Linked DNA regions of Arabidopsis thaliana. The protein of the gene in region 2 interacts with the protein of the main gene of each other region in a pairwise test. Each region holds a gene or a part of one and is shown on either strand. Other genes may lie near its edges.

Region 1 (3,754 bases), on a different chromosome or scaffold from region 2:
ATGACAGGATAATGAGAGGAAAGGGACAAGTTGTGGATGGAGACAATGGAATCGTTTACACCCATAAGGATCTTCCTGTCTTACAAAGGACAGAGGCTGTTGAGAATGGAATTTAGTTCTCTCTTTCTCTGCTGATGTCATATTATGTTTTACAATTATGATTGAAGTTTTTTCCCCCTTTTACATAGGATATAGTGTTCCTTGAGGTTTGTACCATCATAAGAAGATCTCATTACTTAAGTGGTCTTTGATAATAGTGAAATGTTTAGCAGCTTCTCTTCATGTCAAAAAAGCTCCATACATGTCCACAACCTTTGATTTACCACAACTATTTGTATCATTTCTCCATGCAGAATAAGTTATATTTTTTCTAATTTGTGGTCTAGACAAAGATACAAATCGGCATTTCACATTCAAAACCCCATTGTGAACTCAAAAGTCATTACAAATGAAATCTGCAAACATAAAACAATCTAGCTCTTACTCTACTTAAGCGTGTCTCCTTCATTCTTGGACAAAGGTTTTGAGCTTCTTCAACCATAGTAAGTACTCTCTGCTATCTTTCTTCATCATGTACTCATACAAGAAATCCGTTGCGCTTGCTTTGATTCCTCTCGTCTCTAGAAACTTGTGGAACGACTTGCGCATATTCTCATCCAACTCCCTGCAAAGCACAAGAAAGAAACAACATATGAGTTTTTTCTTGGGGTTATCATATGGTTAAAACAGAGGGGATATACAGTATGTTGCTTACTGAAAATCTGGCCCATCATAAGTCAACTGTTCTTCAGAAGAATCATCTGGACGGTTCACAGACAAACCATCAATGACAATCTCATCAGGGAAAGCAGTGCAGCTAAACTCTAGGCTAAGTCCACTCTTCTTGGTCACAGTGACAACAAGTGGAATGCTTGATTCATTCGATTTCTCATGACGACCATCACCATCTTCATCGTCATCCACATCATCTTCATTTTCATCCATGGCAAGACCAGGCATGCTTACTTCTACTTTAATCTGCTCTCCATTGTATTCTCTAGTCAATGTCACAGTCCTGTGTCCAGGATTATCTTCGATTTTGAAAGGAAAGTCACTAGAGTCTATCGTCTCTTCATCCTGAAATATATAACCAGAAGAACCATGTAGTCTCTCATAAGCTTATAACCAAAACAGGTTCATGCAATTTGTGTGAGCTCAGAATCAAAACAGGTTCATGATCAAATTCCGAAATGTATGAACTTTTACTCAACAAATTCTGAAAGAAATGCGATTTAAGGCATAGAAAGTCTCCAGTTAGATTCAACCATGAGTTCCCACTAAAGCTTATGGCTTCCACAGAGTAAGCAAACTCACAGATTCAGTCCAATTTTCAACACTGCTTCTACAATTCTCTATCAAAAACCAAGAAAAAAACAAATCCCACAGATTCGTTTATTTTCCCAGGAATCAAGTGATAAAGATCAGTTATTACCGCATCGTGATCATCTGCTTCGAAAGAATCCTTGATCTCAGAGTCAATCACTTGTATAAGCGTCTGATCGGACTTTAACGGCTCAGTGGCCGTCGAATAAGGAAAGCCACGAGAGACGAAGGGCCGAAGCAGAGATGGCTTGGGAACAAGAGACGAGCGATTAACGATAGCGGAGACGGCTTGAGCTCGAGCCACACGACCACACACGGAAGCTAAAGTAGAAGCTGATCTACGAATGCACAAAGCGAAACCCATGGCGATTAAAAGAAAATGGATTCTCTCAGTCTCTGGGTTTTGGCCTTTCCTTAGGGTTTTAACTTTTAAGTGTACGAAGAAGACAAACTATACTAACCAAATCATACCGGTCTTCAAACCAAACCGGTTAAATTACAATTCTTCATTTCTCAATTCCTCTTCACAAACAAATTGTACTGATTTCTGGCATATCTTTTAGAAGTATAGTTTCACATATCAAAAACTCAGAATTTACAAAAGTCAAAAGAACTTTCACAAACTGTATGATAAAGAGACTGAAATGTTTTTTGGATTTCACTAATTTGGTATTACAATCTGAACAATTTCTATGTGACCCGGATCAACAGAACAACCATTATGAACACACAGATCATGGCGAAGATCAAGAGCCACTGGAAGCAACTTGTCTTTGAGCTTTGTGAATATATCTTTGTCGCTCTTGTTGTCGCGTGTCCTGTGCTCGCTAGGCTTTGCTCAATGGCCTCCTCGGTAGAGTCAAGTATCTTTTGTTAATGAATCCACAAGAAAAGAAAGAAAGAAAAATGTTAGGAGCAATGAAGCCGGTTAAAAGGATATATGAACCAATATAGATTCTTCTCTTGTTACATAGTTGTTGATTAAAAAAGTAAGAATAATTGGTTTTGTGAGGAAATGGTTAGCATCTCACCTTTTCTGTATTTTGCACAGATTGACTAATCGCTTGACTTCTCTCCTTGAGTTGTCTTGCAAGTACCACCATTTCATCGGTTAGATCCTCTTGAAGCTTTCTGTCATCAAATGAATCACCAACTTGGCATGAAGTGGCAAAATTGAACTTATATTAAAATCAATAAAGCTCTACTCTTTGCGATAAATTTTTCTCTCTACTAACGAAAGTGCATAGATAGAAATGAGTTCCTAGTTCTTCTTGGTGATCAATGCATCTACCTGTGCTTGTCAATGTGCGCTTGAGCTGCGGTGTCTAGTTTTATTGGTTTTGATGAATCAGCATCAGCAGCATCAAAGCTTTGCTCCTTGGAACTTGCAGGGCTAACTCAATCAAGGAAGTTGATAAGTACTAAAAGAAAGAATTTACTACAACTTGAGAAGGATGTGAATCTAGTATTCCACGTACACGATTCTTCTTCTCAGCTGTGGCGAAGTGGGGCTTCGAGGCTCATCTTCTATTTTTGGTGAGCTTCCACTAGTCGAATCTTTTGCAAAGGGTTCATCAGATACCTCTGTCTCAGGCTGTAAATTTAGCAAAAATCAAAAATTTGGTATAAGTTACAGAAGTAAAACTTGAAAATTCTTGCAGCTAAACAATGGTTCTACGCAGGAACCAACCAAAATGTGCGTTCCTGAAACTAATTCCTGAGACCAATACATCTAGTAAAAATTGGGGAAGTAACTAACAAAGTATCATATCAACAAGAGCCTAATGTCCTAGCTAGACAAGTGAAAAGAAGTGTCCCTTTCTAGTTCAGGTGACTTACCTCTTGAGAAGCTATCTTGGAAGCAACAGCTTCAATCTTCTCATAGTACTCATTAACCTTAGCCTTTGTAACTCTGGACAAAGAGATCAAAGGAGAAAATAAGCACATTCTCATAATGGTTGCAAGGGTATTTCACCAAAAAACATGTACTTTTAGAACAACAACTATAATACGAAGCAATCCAGTTCAAATCTCTAACCCTTGATCCTAGAAAGAGACACCAAAAAGCAGGAATCTTTTTAATGGCAATGGTGAATCAACAAGAGAGTAAGTAAACCTGGGAAGGCCTTCAGGGGTTTTTTCTTCGGAGAGTTGTTCTAATTGTTCCCTCAATGTAGCAACATACTGCAGATTTTTTGTTTCATACATCAACATAAACACGAGACTAATAGTTTACATATAATGAAGATCAAAAGAAACGTACATGCATAAGCTTCGACTGATTTTGCTGGTTAGGTGCAGCGGAAAGCAATCTCCGCAAATTGATCTCCGTTTTGCTTATTCCCATCATCAGTAAATCTGACAACTAGAGAATGAAACAACATTCAGATCA
Region 2 (3,754 bases):
GACTGGAAAAGTAGCAAACTTTGACTTCTCTGACCGATTTTGAGCACAAATTCCAACCTTTCTACTACACTCTTCTATGACCATTTCAACTAAATTTCGGATAGACACTGTTGAATCGCAGATCAACCGGGAAAAACTCACGGGAAGAAAGTGTTTCTGCCTGCTTTCGTGGAGTTTGGAAAAGGCCTGGAGTGATCCACCTATCATGGGCCTAATAATCGGCCCAATTAGTTTTGTTACTGGATGTGTTAATAATGATGAAGAGTAGAAACTTTGACTTGTCTGATAAAATGATCACACTCCTTTCATGACCATTTCGATTCAATTGAGGAATTAGGCACTGTTGAGTGACAGATCAAATGTCCTAGGATCTATAAACAATTGACATTCCATGGAATCAGCTTTAGGGGGTTTTGAGCAATCATCATCACCAATCAGGTTATTCGAGGGATCCAGTTTGTTTGTTTTTGAATTCAGCTTAGGGGAACAAAAGAGTTAAGATTGTGAAAACAAATGACATGAATCACTTGATTCGATAGCAAACACAAAAGCAGGACTAATCTCTCTCACACACACAATGTCTCAACTTAAACAGAGAAAACTAGTCAATGTCCCAAAATGAAAATATAGTAGAGTACTAGCTAAAAGAGAGGTAGAGAGATCATTCATTCAATAGGGTTTCTTTTGTTGTTGATGGTGGTCATGTCGTCAGGAGGTATGACAGCAATCCTGAGAACACCAAATTCTGCATCCCAAGCGATGGTGTTGTTCGAAATTAAAGCGGGAAAAGGACTTTGGACGCTTCCGAGGTAGGTTCGACCGCTCTCATCGTGTTCATACACGTCCTTGATCTCAGCTTTGAATCTGATTTCCTTTTCATCAGCATACACTTCCACATCATCCGGACTAACACCTGGCATGTCCACTGCAAAGTGAGCCCCTCCTCCCGCTTTTGTCACCCCAATTAGTGCTCCCTTGCGACCAGACACCAGACACGGATGATCCTCCAAGCGTATTCCGGATTGACCTTAATAAAGAACAGAGAGTACTGTATTAACAACAAATGATGCAGCAAAAGAGATTGTGACTTTAGAGAAGAGGAATGAGTCGAACCTGTAAAAGGAGGCACAGTGAGAGTACACTTGTTGTTGTTGTTGTCTTGAGCCTTGCTCACAACCTTGACCCTTGTGAGAATCATCCTCAAAACTCCATCTTTCATTTTGGCATCCACGCCTGTGATCTCGCAGCAGTCACAGCCAAGCCCAGCGGTTCCAGAGTACTGACGCACACCTTCCTTGCCGTTGTTCAGAGTTTCACCGGAGAAAAAGACAACCTTTTGTCTCACGGCGTCAACTCTGTAGCGAACGGCGTCGTCTGGAACACCAGGCAAGTCGACACGCACGTAGAGATTGTCGTTCTCCAGAACCTTCACTTGAACGAAACCCTTTGGACCCGCTTTCTGAAACTGATTGTTCGTCGCGTAGAACCCCTCTGTAATAATAATAAGTAAACAAAGATCAAAACTTGATGAAGAAAAGTATACAGAGAACAAAGGAAGACACTTATCAAAGATGGAACTAACTCGATCTGCTTCATTTTCATGAATCATGCACAGTAAAAAAACTGTAAATCTTTGTACCAAGTTCATGTTAACACTTCACAAGTAAACAAATTGAGACAACTTTCTAGAAAAAACACATATTTTCCGAGAAAAATTAGAACAATGTTGTTCTTGGGAAATCTAGTAGCTCGTGAAAAGAGATACCTCGAACTTTAGGAATTCTTGACATGTCCCTGAAATCTGCCTTTGTCTCACCCATCTCTCTCTTTGTTTTTTGCTCTCTCTTCTCTTCTAGTTCAAGGTAGGTTGCGTAAAAATGGCGTTTTGTTCTCCTGTTGATAAATATAGACGAAGCACCATCTTGTGGTACAGACTGTGACGTGGCACGCTCCAGCTGGCTTTTTTTTAACCTTCATAGCATAAGTTTGACTGGTCTTGCCTACGTCACCGACTCTCTCTCTCGGTAAGAAAAAAAACTTGCTTTTACTCTTTTGATTTTTTTTACGGTAGAGAATAAGCTGACGTCACCAGCTCTGTGAGCTATCCCACGCTTTTTTTACTCCTTTCGTTTATATGTAATTATGTACGACAAAAATGACTGCAAAAGTAAAACCGTACCCACACTCTTCACTCTTCATTAATTTTCAAACATTTTTGACAAGACGACGCTGACGTCAGCAATCTTCAAGAGTAAAAAAATTATGAGCTCTCAATTATCTTTTTTTTTTTCATCAAAGATCAAATAAGGTTTCAACCGTCGTTTAGTGTTTATCCAATTATTACGACAACGCTATTAAAAAGTTTGATCCCTACTTACAACAACATATATCTATTAACATGTCCAGGTTACATACTCGTAATCCGGTTTAATAATGGCAAAGATCTATATAGTCTTATCGAATAGCTAGGTTAATGTAAGATTAAATAGAACAAAGAAAGCTGACAACTTTTTCTTTATTGAGATCACGACATATAGAAGCAAGATCGTTCTTAACTAAACCACAAAATGATAAACATAAAGCAGTAGCTGCATCAAAGTTCATAGATAGATAGAGACGCTAGACACAAGTACCATTACGAGACACAAACCAAGGTGTTGTTAAATCAGTAATGGAGGATCCTCTCCTTGACATTAATGGAAGCGTTTTTGCCTGGGATCTTAGGGACGGTGATCCAGAGCACTCCGTTGATAAGCTTCACTTTAGTTTTCTTGACGTCGTAAGCCTCAGGGTTGAAAATCATGGAGCCTCCGTATTTGCGTCCGGCGTTTTCGTACTCAGGCATTGCTGGTTCGTCGGCGAAGAAGTGGACGTTGTTGGCGTCGACCCAGTAGGTGAGATCTGACTCGGGACAACCAGGCATGTCGACTCTCGTCACGCAAGATTTCTTCGTCTCTGTCACCTCGTACACCGCTTGACTCCCACTTTTCTGAAATCGGTTCCTTACTGTACATACATAAGATAAAACAAACACAAATTCGTTATTAGAAAGAGAGATTTGACGTGTAAACTATAAAGGTTTGATTTTTATAAGAAATGACAGTGAAAGATGAAAACTTTACTTGGAGACGGAATTTCGCCGGAACTGCCTGCGTTAACTTCCATGTTCCTACTCATTTGCTCAAAACGATGCTCTTTCTCTTTCTTTTGGAAGGAAACTGAGTGAGCAAAGTCGCTCTACTCCACTTGCTATTTATAGCCGAGGAGGACTATAGGGTTTGGGAAAGGCCTGGAGTGACCTATCATTTGGCCCATTAATCGGCCCAAGGAGTGTTAAAAATTCGAAATTGTTTCTGATTTGGTGAAATTGATCGAAAAGCTCTTCTAGTTGAACTCCATGGAAAGGAGTGATCTTGTAGAGTGTTGACAATTGACATCAATCTGGAGACTTTGACTTCTCTGAACAATTTTTAGCACAACCGGAGTGACCACCTAATATGGGCCTAAGAATCGGCCCATTTAGTTTTGTCGGGGGATGAATTATAAACAATTGACATTTGATGGAAGAAACTAATATTCAATATCAGCTTAGCTTTAGGTAAATTATGCAATGGACCCAATTTGTTTCAATCGGCTTAGAGGAAAAAAAAAGAGTTAAAAGTTTGTGAAAACAAATGACATGAATCATTGGGTACCATAGCAAACACAAGTATGTATATGTTAGTTACTTGTGTATTTGGCCCATACATCGGCC

Evidence for each region. The genes of interacting proteins can lie anywhere in the genome.
Region 1: the proteins of AT5G47590 (region 2) and AT3G55605 interact in a two-hybrid assay, tested with the Arabidopsis thaliana proteins (one large-scale study listed by BioGRID).

The regions. Positions count from the first base shown.
Region 1 is NC_003074.8:20,620,640-20,624,393, reverse strand, and holds AT3G55605 (Mitochondrial glycoprotein family protein), read right to left. Parts: upstream 1,788-3,754; 5' UTR 1,727-1,787; coding exon 1,472-1,726; intron 1,117-1,471; coding exon 755-1,116; intron 665-754; coding exon 505-664; 3' UTR 343-504; downstream 1-342. Other genes in the region: P5CS2 (delta 1-pyrroline-5-carboxylate synthase 2), read left to right, coding at 8-116; AT3G55600 (Membrane fusion protein Use1), read right to left, coding at 2,053-2,229, 2,394-2,493, 2,654-2,755, 2,841-2,956, 3,202-3,274, 3,479-3,546, 3,626-3,712.
Region 2 is NC_003076.8:19,297,280-19,301,033, forward strand, and holds AT5G47590 (Heat shock protein HSP20/alpha crystallin family), read right to left. Parts: upstream 1,896-3,754; 5' UTR 1,821-1,895; coding exon 1,766-1,820; intron 1,492-1,765; coding exon 1,114-1,491; coding exon of another isoform or gene 1,028-1,113; coding exon 666-1,027; 3' UTR 335-665; downstream 1-334. Other genes in the region: AT5G47600 (HSP20-like chaperones superfamily protein), read right to left, coding at 2,666-3,006, 3,123-3,177.